Daphnia pulex: one gene and its partner. The protein of the gene in region 1 purifies or fractionates together with the protein of each later gene. This does not show direct contact. Links are inferred from orthologs where the notes say so. Each region holds a gene or a part of one and is shown in the gene's direction. Other genes may lie near its edges.

Evidence for each region. The genes of interacting proteins can lie anywhere in the genome.
Region 2: the proteins of proteasome assembly chaperone 2-like (region 1) and proteasome subunit beta type-7-like purify together in Homo sapiens (affinity purification with mass spectrometry; 3 studies listed by BioGRID and IntAct, counting the BioPlex papers as one, with this or other methods). This does not show direct contact. The link is inferred for Daphnia pulex from reciprocal best matches to the Homo sapiens genes PSMG2 and PSMB7.

The regions. Positions count from the first base shown.
Region 1 is NC_060026.1:15,318,735-15,327,125, forward strand, and holds proteasome assembly chaperone 2-like, read left to right. Parts: upstream 1-3,939; 5' UTR 3,940-4,032; coding exon 4,033-4,098; intron 4,099-4,918; coding exon 4,919-5,084; intron 5,085-5,144; coding exon 5,145-5,203; intron 5,204-5,270; coding exon 5,271-5,449; intron 5,450-5,514; coding exon 5,515-5,625; intron 5,626-5,692; coding exon 5,693-5,891; 3' UTR 5,892-5,952; downstream 5,953-8,391. Other genes in the region: one cut domain family member 3-like, read right to left, coding at 137-305. UniProt on the Homo sapiens protein: Chaperone protein which promotes assembly of the 20S proteasome as part of a heterodimer with PSMG1.
Region 2 is NC_060019.1:7,368,874-7,374,697, forward strand, and holds proteasome subunit beta type-7-like, read left to right. Parts: upstream 1-4,032; 5' UTR 4,033-4,136; coding exon 4,137-4,198; intron 4,199-4,271; coding exon 4,272-4,451; intron 4,452-4,530; coding exon 4,531-4,678; intron 4,679-4,738; coding exon 4,739-5,179; 3' UTR 5,180-5,264; downstream 5,265-5,824. Other genes in the region: calcium channel flower-like, read right to left, coding at 1-90; serine/threonine-protein kinase Nek7-like, read left to right, coding at 666-881, 994-1,213, 1,278-1,480, 1,547-1,660, 1,715-1,893, 1,940-2,051; 39S ribosomal protein L53, mitochondrial-like, read left to right, coding at 2,755-2,900, 2,972-3,081, 3,138-3,331. UniProt on the Homo sapiens protein: Component of the 20S core proteasome complex involved in the proteolytic degradation of most intracellular proteins. This complex plays numerous essential roles within the cell by associating with different regulatory particles.

The DNA.
Region 1 (8,391 bases):
ATTAACGCTGGCGGAGGTCTATAACGAGAAACAATTGAGGCAAGAGGGGGGCAAACCGATTTTTTGTTTGAACTTTGTGTGTCATGGCACTGATTTTTCGTTCGGTTATATTATTTTAGGAAAGAGAAGACAATACCTGGATATCTTTCGTGGAAATTGGACTGACTATTGGCGCTGTGCTGGTAATTGAAATCTCGGTGTTGCCAGGCCAGAGGCGTGCGTGAATCCAAGTCGACACGATCGTTGGAACTGCTCTGGCGGGAGCGTTCGCGCTCACGTTCACGACGATCCATTCGCCGTTCCATTCACGACCGCCGATTTGAAGGAGGAAAAAAACACGCACACACACAAGGTACACTTACACACACACGGATAATAATGGAATTTTCAAACTCTCTGTGGGAAGATGGGTGAAGGTGAACAAACCAACAATGTTTGTTTCTCTCTAATTCTTTTTCTCACATCCGCACCGGACCGGAACTACGGCCGGATTGAATAGAAAGGAAATATAACCCCCCTACGCCACTATTTGTTGGGCTTCACTTGGGAGTAGAAAAACCGGTTTTGTGTGTGTGTGGTTCTTTAAGAAAATCTTTTTTGATGAGTTGTGAAAAAGATAAAAATGACACGGTGCGGAGTAAAGGAGAGAGAGGTCCGTTCGGATCCGCTTCACAGTGTCGACTGGCCTGCGCGTAGCCGAGTCACTTTGGCTTTACCTTGTCTTTGGTAAAAGAATTCCTTCGCCTTTTCTTGTACACATTTCCCACCAAGTTCTTATTCTTTTCTTTTCTTTTCTTTTCCAGGTATAAAAACGGGCGAAGAAGATGGCCGCCGCCGCCGTACACATTTTGTGTGTGTTCTTCCCTCTGGCAGAATTCATGTCCCTACCCTTTTCCCTGCTCAAGTCATCGACCTATGTAATGTCTAGTATACCTTCCTTCCTTCTTCTTCTTCTTCTTCTTATTCGGTTCTTCTTCTTCTTCTCCTTTTTGCGCCGCCCGCCATTGGAGTGTGGGACCAAATTCTCCGTTGCATTTTTACCTGGTGGTGGAAGAGGTAGGGAAGGAAGTTGTTTTTTTTTTTTCTTCTAGGAGCATTCAATAATTTGAATAGCTCCTATATAGCTAAGGCCATTTGGCTTGGAGATGAGATGGTAGAACACACACACCGAAATATAGACAATCACACGGTCTATGCGATATATCTATGAGCTCGCACAATGTGTATGTACCGGTGTATCTACTTCCCGGCTGGGTTACTCCCGACAAACAATTACCGAATCTGGGTGACGGTTTATTTGGCTAACAATTGGGTGCCGTTGTTGTTGTTGTTGTTGTTGGCTGTTGGCTGTCCCATTTGCTATTATTCAGATGACATAATACGATGAGCAGACCTTTTTTTTGTGTGTGTGTCGTGCAGTCGTCACGAGCCGCATAAGAAAAAATTGCTCACCTGGAAATAAAGATGAAGAAATGATTCTTTCGGGATTTGATGATAATAATGCACGTAACGTTCGCTTTGATGTTGCCTTTTAACGAGATGAGAAAACAGTTTTTCTTTTGGGGGGGGGGGGGGGGCAAACATTGTCCGGGGTGTAAATTACCCGTGAAAGTCTATAGATCTTTTTATTTTTTGTTATAAATATTTGCGTGATTGATTGGGTTATCAAATGATTTTTTTTTTCCTTTTTTTAAAAGAACCGCGCATTTTTCTTTTGATAAGACAGAAAAGTTGCAATTTCGGGTGGATGCGGTTTTTTGGTTTTTTTATTATTATTACGTCCAATAGGAGGCCTCCACCGCGTTAACAGCAACACCTGGAGGCGAGTTCCATACTTGAATTTAAACATCTCTCAGAAGGAGCTGGCGCCCCACCCACCCACCAACTGGTCAGCTTATACACTTCTATAACCAAAATAAGAAAAATGTTTCATATGTTTTTAATTCCTTCTCGTTTGGGTTAGGTGACGTCTGGCTAATTTCCGCCCAATTTTCATTGCCCAGCCAAACTCCTTCCCATTTTCCATACAATACCCAAGTTAATAACGTTCTTTTTATTATTTTTATTTCGCCTTGGGTGCGGTATTTTTTCGGTCGGCAGTCACGGGAAGTGGCAATAATCCAGAAGGAAAGGGAGAATTATTCCCTTTTAATATTTCTTTTTTATAATATCACGATCATCAGAATGTTTTTACAAGGCGCGATCCATCATTAGAGTGACGTAAGGACTTGGGCGAGCTGCTGAACTGTGGTGGTGCGTGAAGAAAAGATGGGAGCGGCCCCACGTAATAATCACGAATTTTTTTCAATTCTCCCGGCACCGGTGTGTAATGTTTGTTTGACCATCAAAAGTCTCACACACACGTTGAATGGGAAAAACGTAAAAAAAAAAGAAAAAGAAAATTTCATGGTCAAATGGCCACACTGAAAAAAAAGTTGTTGATTTTCTTCTCAAACAAATTCACTTTTTTACACACGTAATTTTGTTTTGGTGATTTTTGTTTTTCTCTACCTCCCAGCCATCGTATTAGATATAGTGGGAAGAAAAGTGATGATTTTAACGGACAGTCTCTTCTTCAAACTGTCGGGAAAATTTTTCATCGGTTAAAAAAATTTTAAAAAGTGTTCCGTCATGCGGATCATTCCGCGCGGATGAGGAAATATATATCTATGATCTGTACACAACATCCAACGGTTATTTCCGTCGGTATTTTTTTTTTTCGCGACTCGGATTAGCCAAGTTCAACCACCCGAGATGGAGGAGGAGGGCATCACAGTAATGTTGTTGTTGTTGCGGACATCTTAAGAGCACAATGAGACGATAGGAATTGGACGCCAAAGAAGTAGGACGACACGGAAACTGGAGTTGGTTGAAGAGAAGATTTACCTGCTGCTGTGCTGCTGGGAGGTTTTAAAAACGTAACAACAGTCATTCACGTGTACACATAGGCAGTGGGTAGTATATCTAACTGTCAGTTGCGAGGGGAGCCAAATGGGATGGATCAGCAGAGCACGTCGGATAACCGACATATTTCATCTTTTTGATGTTGTTGCACACGCCACGGTATATATAGGAAAAATGCCGGCCGGATAGCGGTCGGCAGATGAGCTCAGTATCGTACCTCATCACATTGCGGTGGAAGATTCACCTCATTATACACAAGCGCCGTACCCTACATATGGTTAGCCATAATATTATTATTAGCAGGGCTGCTGAGATGCAGCGAAATCTTTTTTGATTGATCGCTGAGCGCGCTGGTTGCTCACGAGATTATTTCGTCTTTTTTAAAATCAGCCCGCGCTCCGTTTCTCATCGTCGGTTGAATTTCACGTGAACCGCAAAGTCGTTGCAGCGCGGAGAAATTTGTTTTGGGGAATTTTTGCAAGTTTAGGCGCATAAAAATCTTTCACAAAATCATTTGAACTATTTTGCTTTGTCATTGGTAAATGGGACTGAAAAATAAAAAGAGAAAAACGGAAAATTCTTATCTCATTGTGTCGGGGGGTAATATTTCATTTTGTTTTTGAAGGGAGAATGAGAGAGAGGAACCCTAACCTACATGTTCTGTTTTTACCCAACAATACAATTGTGGGAGGAGGAGGAGGAGGGCAGAGACCGTGATGACATGACAGGTGGATTTCATTTTTAGTTTATTTTTTTATTTTTTTTCCAAATTTATTTCTTTTTTTTTATGACCACCCACCCACTTATTCCAAGGAGGGAGGAAAGTCGCTAGGAGAGAGAATTATGTTTGTTTAATTGCTGTAATTTTAGAAATTCCTTCTTCAACCGACTAGAAACTCGCTGAACCCGATCATTCAGTTATTCAGTTATACCCCATTCACGCAAATGTCGTATCAACAAGGCAACTACGGGAGAGATTAATTGAGTTATAAGCCACCTAGCGGTGGAAATTGAAACTGGGGTGACGTCGGTAAAAATACAGCAGACGCTTTTTGCAAAGATTCCGCCAGTCATTTGTGGCTTTCAAGTTTACCAAGTTTAACACGTTTGCAATCCGTGGTCAAGAAAATGTTTGTCTTTCTGAAGAATAAATCACTGGAATGGTCTTCACTTCAAGATTACACCTTCATATTGGTAATTTCGTGCAAGGTGGATTGATTAAAGGCAGATCTCGAACTCGGCCGAAAAATTCGAACAGGGGAATTGCGTATTGGAAAGACGAGTGATTCATGTCAAAGCAGTTACGACATTGACTTAAATTTTTAGTGGGTAAATTGCATTCAGGGAACAACAATGTTATTTTCTTAATCGATAGACTTGAATAACTGGAAAGAATTATTATTTTTGAAGTAAAAATCGAGTTTGAAAAAAGGAGCCACCTGGCGGCCATTATTAGAATTGTGATAAGAGAACTGTCAAAAGTACAACTTAACTCAATTTCACTAAATGCGTAAAGTAAACTAAAATTTCCGCATACAAACTTGCTAGTCAAACGTAGTGAATGATTCGTGAAAAATTATTCCTTTCAAACCCGTCACCCAAATGACATGCTCCAAAAGTGCTAGTCTCTCAGCTGGGTATGTGGCGCGTACCTGTAATCCTGCTTCTGGGAGGCTTGGTGTAGTGGATGGCTTGAGGCTGGGAGTCCTGCTGGATCGTCGCTTGCGTTGAACAGGTGTCCGCACTAAGCTTGGCATCAACATGGATCGGTTGGAGTAATCCGGCAGATCCAGGTTATCTAAGGAGGAGCGAATCGGGCCAGGAGGGAAACCGAGCAGCCAAAAGTTCCCGTGTCGGGCAGTAGTGGGATCGCGCCCGTGAGTAGGCGCCTTTCAGTAGCCCAGCCAATAAAGTCACACCTACATCTTTTTTCGTCTTTTTTCTAATTGAATTTCATAGTTTGAGTATTTTTTGGATTTTATTGCATCATTAAATTGGTTTTCTGATTTTTCAGCCGGCCGTTTCAGTCGGCAACATCGGCCAGCTCTCGGTGGACTTGCTCATCAGCTCCCTGCACTGTGACAAGCTAGCCAAATTGGATCACCCCGTATTCGTACCCGTAGTTGGCAGTGATCCTTATGATGAAATACGGGAACAAGGCCTCATGACAGCAGCAGAATGTAATTTAATTGATATTAAATTTTTGACTGAATGGCATCTAATTTTCGCTAAAATTTCAGTATACATCAGCAAAGAAAAGAAACTGGTTATTCTACAGATTCGTGGTCTTTTGATTAAGGTAACTCATTGAAATTATTATTAATGTAAAGGTTTTAACCAGCTAATTCATTTATTACTCCCAAAAGGAATTTTGTGCCGATTTCTTGTCCCAGTTAGTGGACTGGATCAAGAAATGCGCTTTTGTCAAGACTATTCTGCTGTCCAGCCTCCACAACTACGAACGAGTTGATTCCCAACTCACCGGATCTCCATTCCGCTACACTGTGACTTCAGCTGTCAACTCGTCTATTGAAAACGAATTAAAGTAAATTGCGGAGAGATAAAATCAAGATCAATAATTGTATTCTAAAAGTATTGATTGAACTATAGGACTCTGCAGTGGCCTGCCCTGGAGACCCGACGTTCGGTTTGGAAGGAAGGCAATGAAGATATCCTTTTCTTCCCCGGTGGAGGATATACTAGTCTTCTGAATAAATTATGGTAGACGTGTTTATTCAATCCGTTTCGATTACGTTTTATAACTGAAGTTTTCCCTTTTATTCTGCAGTGGCGAAATGAATGTCCCTCTGGTAACTCTTCTTATATTTTGCGCCGAGGGTGACAATATACCGGGAGTTTTGCTGGTGACGGGTCATTTCAACCGGTGGCTAAACTTCGTACCAATGGCCAATGATGCCCCGGGCTGGAAATTCCCAGCGTCTTGGAAATTATTCTTTGGTGCACCAGCTCCCATGACCATGTATTGATTGATCAAAAAAAAATAATGATTGGCAAAGGAAAAGATAATAAAATCGAGTGATTGGTGAATTTCAATTAATTTAATCTTTTGGTTATTCGACGTGCTTGTTATGGAGCTGTTAGTCCAACCCCCAGGTCTCGTAACTGTCAGTTATACGTTAATAATAATAAAAAAAGGTACAGAGAAAGTGTTATGGAATTGCGATGCGGACGTTGGTTGGTGGGCGATTGCGTCATTGACTTATTGTGATGATCTTTTCCTTCAATTCTGCAGAAAGGAAAGAACGGCTGTTAAAGATAAGACATACGAGTTTCACGACTAGTTTGAGATTATAGCCTGTACCTTTAGAACGGACAAAAATCTTATAATTCAAACATGCATTTAGATTCCATTCATACTGCCGTGCAGAAATAAATATTATGTTATTGTGCCATTTACTTAAATATGAAAGGTCGCAAATGTATAGAACATAGGTTAAAAACCTGCGGAAGCCAATCGGACGAGGCGGAATCCGGCGGAACCGCGGAATCGATATCGGCCAAATAAGTCTCAGAATTTTTTTGCGCCAATAATTGATTTAAAGCTTGTCATGTGATAGAGTTCGAGTTTCATTTACTGATGGCAATCAACCAATCAGCGGTAAATTATATTTTAACAAATTTTTATTAAAAAATTAAATGTAATTTAAGCAAGATTTTGAAAATTTGCCACCGCTGTAAATGATATGGGGTTGGGGTGGGATTGTGGGAAGGGTAGAAATAGAATTTTCTTCTGCTCAGAAAATTTTTTTATGATCCATTCTCACTCTCACTGCCTTCTGCCTTGGTAAGTAGTTTATTTGGTCAAATTTAAATTTATGTTCAAAAATATTTCTGGTATTTGGCTTTGTTTCATAATATTGGTTATTACATTCAAATTTTGTTTTATCTACATTAAATTCTATGTGATAAAATTTACGGTAAATTTACCTTCTGGTTCTACAGATTTTTGAGAAAACAGCGTGGTCGCGTGGTTGGTGTCGTAAATTTGAAATGTATCCAAAAAATCTACAAAATGATTTGTCTACATGCATTTTCTACTCTTAAAATGTAGGTGAAAATTTTAAAGTTGGCTATATTATATACTAGTATTCGTGATGATAAAATTTAATCTTAATGCTAGTGAAGACATTTTGCATTATAGTCTTTCGCTCCTATCTGATGATCAGTTCTAGCTTTGTGTTACAATCATTGGCCTATTTCCCATTTTAATATATTTTAAATTTGTTTCAGGTCGTGATTGCACACCTCTATCACCTATCACTGTTTACCCACTGTGTAGAGCCATGGTACCGATTTGGAGGTGAGTTGGGTTGAACACCCCTTTTTTGTGTCCAACCATAATGATTTAAAATATATCCTGAAATATCATGGAGGAATCATGTATTAGCTCTAAATGAAATTTTTAATTTGTAACTATCACTGTTTGCAAATGAAATCATGTTAATGAAGTTTTCCTCGCAGATATCCTCTTGCTGTAACTTGGTTGCAGCCCTGATTGCAGTCTTTTTTTATCTGCAATTTAGGTAATGTTGGTTCTAAAATTGGTGTGCCGTGGGGTTTTATGATGATTCACTAGCATAGGTCATCTGATGTTGAGGAAGATAAATTTTGCAAATCTGAAATGGCTTCAAGAATTATCATTATGTTTTAGTTTTCCTTAATTTAATAATTTTTCAATTTTCTGTAGGTATTGAGGCTTGTTACTCCAGGGCTTTGACCTCGATTTCGTATTTGAGCAAGTTAAGGATTACTCCCATGTGATGCATCATAATTAATGGTAAATATTCCATAATAAATTTACTTATGATTGTATGACGACAAAATAGACCACCAATCGTTATCTGATGCTTAAATATTGATATAAAATACTTGTATAATTGTTCACTTATTAATGAAGGACAATTTCTTCAGCAGGTTGATGTAACTATGGTACTACACACTACTCGAGCTCCAGTCTGGAAAGTAAGTAATTTGATTCCGTTTCCTTAGGTGTTTCGGTTTAAAATGATGTTCATTCGTGCGTGTCATCTGATATCTTGATGCATAAGACATCTTGTCATTTACTGATTACGTTTTTAATGAGTTATAAGTCTTTTATTAAACTGGTATGATAAAAAATTATCATTCTTTGTTTTCAGGTGGTATCTGTAAGCTGCGTTACGTCGAAAGTTCAGGGTTCCCAACTTGGAAAGGTATAACCAGTGTTGTCATCTTATTGCTTTGTTATACTCCATGATGTCAACTCGATTGCACTAGGCTGGATAAATTAGTTTGATACTGTTCTAGTATTTTACTTTCTTACCTCTGATGTTCTGTCATAGTTACTCTGAGACGTTACAAAATATGCCATGTAAGTGTTTTACTTGATTGCCACGTCTAATTAGTTTTTCCTTAATTTCAGATGTGGTGTCTAACCGACTACTTGAAAAATGTGACTGAAACTTCATGTTGGATGTATAATTGGTA
Region 2 (5,824 bases), on another chromosome or scaffold:
ACCCATTCCTCTTCCGGCATATTTCAACCACCAAGGAACTTCTTCGGGTTGGGGGGCTTCCGGAGTTGGCTGAGAAGCTGCCGAGGACATTTTTACCAAGGAAAGGAAAGAATAAAAATATTTGCAATCAAACTGCCCGAGTACGGACTACACAGTACACACGGCAATGCAAAGGATAACGAAACTAATAACACTCCAAAAAGCCAAAGTGACAGCTTAAGAATCGGGTGCGGCGTTGCAAAATCGTATTTATAACGGGCGTATCGACGTATCGGAAAAAAAATTTAAGGATTCATCATTTTTGGTAATTCAAAATGACCAAATCAGGGATAAAATCATGTTGATCTTGTTAGAAAATTTTTACTATTTAATTTTCTCTAAAATTCATATAAGATATCTTGACTTCATCATTTGTTAGATATTTTCAGTAAGTTACAACGATCCTGCGCTCTGTAATTTCTTTTCGTGAGATTAGTAAAATTGGAACATTTTTTTCCTAAGAAGGGGGAGGTTAGTAATCGATACCAAAATATCTAAAGCTCTTTAAAGGGAAACTAACGTAACGTCATTGTCAATTGTCAATTGCCATTCACCGCCGGGTCGGTATAAAACAAGGTTCAAGTTTTTGTTTAAGTCTTTTTGGCGCTAATTTTTTAAAGTTCGTAATGGCGACCAATGTGTTGAGTGAGTGCGACTATTCTTCGGTAAAATTATCAGATTTCGAAATTGGACAACACATCGGCAAAGGACAATTTAGCGTGGTGTATCGCGCACACTGTAAACTCAGTAATACAATGGTAGCGTTGAAAAAAGTACAGCTCTACGAAATGACCGATCTAAAAGCACGTAACGATTGTATGAAAGAAATTCAGCTTTTGCAAGTACACTACTTTCTTTTTTTCTTTTTTAAATATTTCTTTTCAATTTTGATGACAAAAATTAATGTGAGGACGTCCGTTCCATCTTATTTCAATTTTGTAACGCATACAAAAGCAATTAAACCATCCAAATGTCGTGTGTTACATTCACTCTTTCGTGGAGAACAAAGAACTTCAAATCGTTTTGGAACTAGCTGATGCAGGTGATCTAGCCCAATTACTGAGACACTGCCAGAGACAGCGTCGACTCTTGGGTGAAAAAACAATTTGGCGCTACTTTGTACAACTTTGCAGTGCTTTGGAACATATGCACAGTAAACGAGTCATGCATCGAGGTGTGCATCAACTACGCTAGACTCGCGTTTAAACATTCTGTTCATTCGGCTATTTTTCTTTCAGACATCAAGCCTGCAAATGTGTTTATGACAGCTAACGGAATTATTAAACTTGGTGATTTGGGTTTGAGTCGTTTCTTTAGCTCGAAAACATTGGCCGCACACTCACTAGTTGGAACTCCTTACTACATGAGTCCTGAAAGATTAAAGCAGACAGGCTATGATTTCAAGTCAGATATATGGTCGCTGGGCTGTCTTCTATATGAGGTACTAGTAAATTTATAACTTAACCTGTTCCTTTTATTTTTACTGACAAGATTCGAATTTTGCCAGATGGCAGCTCTTCAATCACCTTTTTACGGAGAAAAGATAAACTTATTTTCCCTCTGCCAGAAGATTGAGAGGTGTGAATATCCGCCCATTCCTTCTGCTCACTATAGTCAAGAGGTTATATTAATCATTAACTAAATAGTCGCGACAGATATTTCATTTGATTTACAGCTTCGGCAAATGGTAGAGACATGCGTCCATCCAAGACCTGATAAGAGACCGGATGCTTACCAAGTACTGAAGAACTCACAAGACATCAATCTCAAATTCCATAGCGATGCAGCATCTCATGTTACTGCTGAATTGCGACGATGTGCAATAACCTCTAGTCATAAAGCTAACAATTTGAGGTAACGTACATATATTATTCTTAATATAAATATGGCTATCTTTTAGTAATCAGGGACACCCACAATTGTTCACTTTAAGGCCAGAAGCAGCATTCTATAACAATAATTCAAAAATTAATCAAATGTACAACATAAACACCCAATCAAGAAATTTTTAATTGATTTCCAAACCACTCCTTCATTTTCAAGTGCAACTCCCATTCAAGTTCAAATTTTATTACCATTAAGTGATATATATTTTCAATACAATGAGTTTCTCAAGAGTTTTCGGTTTCTTTGTGTTGGCACTTGGTGCAGGTGTAGAAAATGGTTTGGCCTTCATCAGCAGACCGCAACTGAAGTGATGCATAAGACATGGTTTCATTCCCACACTTGCTGCACTTGCGCTCTACAAGTGGGCCATCAGTTTTGCTCTGGGCAGACTTCAACTGTTGTTCTTCAATGTAGTCACTTCTTTTATTGAAATCAATGTTGTAATCCACTCGAACTTCTTCCATGACTTGGATATCTATCTCGAACTTGCAAACAATACACATGACTCCACCCGCGGTTCCCAAGATAGGTAATATGGCACCGCAACGTGGACAGAATTGTGGATCACAGTTAAATTGTGTAATAGCTGCCATCCTACAAGCAAATTCAATATATTAATTATAACTGACTACATTTTAAACAATAATATTACCTAGTACTAGTAAGAGGGTGACACTGACACGTGAATGACTTGACGCACAACGGCACGGCACAACGAAGCAGTCGACGCTACTTGCGTGTTTTCGTCTGCTTCTTCTGTTGATCACTTCCCATTACGCATGCTCTGAGAATTTCACTCTAGTAAACTATTTTCTTTCTTGATCTGCCATGTCTATTCCATTTTCTGGAGGATTCACTAGATCTGCTGGGATTTATTCAGCTATTGGAAAGCAACTGAAAAGTGTTAGTTTGAAACCTGTAAAGCAAGTAGTATTCAAATTTGATCCTTTCCGACCAAACGTAAAGACCATAAGGTACTGTATTTACTAAAGTTGACTACATCGCCAGAAAATTTATATCTGTATTTTTTACTTTTCTGTTTTAGAGATTGCATGTTCCTTCTCTCTTCAGCAAAAGTTGTGAACACCAATCCTCGTTGCATCGTCAAGACAGAAATAGCAGATAACTGTGAACCAACAATATCAGTCACACTTGGTAAATAGTGTTTATTTATAACACATCAGTGAAACCTTCCTAATGTATTTTCTCAGATATAGGCAAGAATCTTTTGTTCAAAACAGAAAATCTTAATACCCTTGAAGTCCTCCAACAGTTTAACAAAATTGTGGTACCTTTACTGCCAAAGGAAGAAGAAGTAGGAAAAATAGCTGGTAAAATTGCTGCGGGTGCAGCAGGAAAGGCAGGAGGAAAAGCAGGAGGAAAATCTAAACCAACTAGAAAATGAATGAACGAAAGTTCCCAGGAAGGGATCCTGGCTCTATGAAGATGATTGAAAACCTCTACTCTCAAGTTCCAGCTTTCAATGATCTTTTTGATGAAGAAAGCTTTTACATGTTTGTGGTGATTTTTGTTGCTGGTACTATTTTGGTTGCCTACATAGGTTCCAGATACATTACCATCAGACCAGTTGAATGAGTTCTCTCTTAGTCATCAATACAAATTTTTAAATGCACTTTCTCTATTTACTTTTTAAATTGAGGAAGTCTGAGACTTGAAACAATGTACTAAAGCTACAAGTGATTGAGATTCTGAGAACCATTGGAAAAGTGTTGTATATTTTAAAGGCAATTCAAATCCGTTGTAGTAGGCCTAAGGTTAGAAAATAAGACACATATTTTAGACGACTCTCTAATAATTGTTAGGGCGAGTAGTGCCTTCAATAATCAATAACAATAATACCAAGAAACTGTATAGGCTATTGGATATGACGCGCAAAATTAATAAATTGTAGCGTTAATATAGTGGCTAATGCAGCTGCACTCACACCAGCTCACACATCCAACTCTTAATCAATAATCAAGATTAATTTTAAAATTAAGTGCGATTAAATTATTTCCTGCTTAATGAATCACGATTTACGATTTACGAATACAATTTACAAATCATAGGACATTTTACATTGCGTAAAACCAAATTTCCAGAATAGACAACACTGTGATGATTCTCACATTTGTGAACCAGTCGACAATTTTGAGTGAGCCGACTTCTGTTGCCGAAGCAAGAAGCATCAATTTTTCGAACATATCGTCATGGCGTCTACAAAGGTGGTAAATATTCCGAAAGGAGGATTTTCTTTTGAAAATTGTCAAAGGTACGTTTTACTCAATCGTTATAAATTTGTATGAAACCTAAAATGTCACAATTACAACTGTTTCCCAATCCAGAAACAATTTCATGTCCAACCAAGGCTTTCCAGCACCCAAAGCTGTCAAAACAGGAACAACCATTGCTGGTTTTATTTTCAAGGATGGAGTCATTCTTGGTGCCGACACAAGGGCCACAGAGGGAAATATTGTTGCAGACAAAAACTGCTTCAAACTTCACTACATGGCACCCAACATTTAGTATGTGTATTTGTGTTAAATCATAACAGGCTTACTTAACAGGTCAACAAAAGTAATAATGAAATAATTTTACTATTAGTTGCGCTGGTGCTGGAACTGCAGCTGATCTGGAGATGACTACTTTGCAGATGTCTTCCCAGTTAGAACTCCATCGTCTGAACACTGGACGTCAGGTTAAGGTTGCAACAGCCAATCGCTTGCTCAAGCAGATGCTTTTCCGTTACCAGGTATTGTGATGTTGGTTGTATAAAGTGAAAGAGTAGTACCACTATTTTATTTGAATATAGGGACACATTGGAGCTGCTTTGGTTCTCGGAGGCATTGACAGTTCAGGACCCCATGTCTGCTGCATTTACCCACACGGTTCAACTGACTCTTTGCCTTTCGTAGCAATGGGTTCCGGTTCGTTGGCCGCTATGGCTTTCTTGGAATCGGGTTGGAAGCCCGACATGGAATTGGCTGAAGCCAAAGTGCTGATGAGGAACGCCATTTGCGGTGGTATCTTCAACGATTTGATGTCTGGCAGTCACGTCGACTTGTGTATCATTACTCGCGAGAAAGCTGAAATGATTCGACCGTTTGAAGTGGCCAACGTTAAAGGTGAACGCCAAGGCTCGTACCGTTATCCTCGCGGGTGCACGGCTACCCTCTCAACTCGGGTCATCCCCATCGAAATCGAATCCACTGTCGTGCGTCCAGTTGGCGAAGAAAGCATGGACACGGCTTAAATCCAAACATATTGAACCCCACACCTTTTTTTTCGTTTCAAACAAAAAGAAAAAAAAATAAAATAAAAGAAGTCGAATCCATAAATGTACGTGATATTCATTTTATTTATTTTAACGTTGCAACCAACGAATTTGTGCCGTTTTTTCTCTTACAAGTGACATGCACAGCACAACCACGCTCAATAATAGGCGGGCAGAGGCTTGAAAAAGAAATAGGGCGAAAGAAATGAAACGAATTGGGTTTTTTTTTCCATTCCCTATATATATGTATATATATAAGAAACGTAATTGCCAAAAGTGTGTGAGTGTGGCCAGGATACGAATGTTGCGTCCCGAGTGTTAAATTTGTTTTTCGTTCATCCTTTTTGTTTTGAATAGCCAAATATTGTCGGGCGGAATCCAATGAGAAATTATCGAAATAAGGAGTGCATAATAATAAATACACGAAATTAAGGGGGGTAGGGTTATAACTCGCGTTTGGCTATGTACACACACATCGTCATTACATCATTGCAGCCGCACTGCGTGATTCAACTCCATTTTTTGCCACATTTCGAATTTTTTTGTCATTTCACTGAACATATGTACACACACGCACACAAACAAAAAAAAAACAACCCAGACATTGATAAGCGAGCCCTGCTC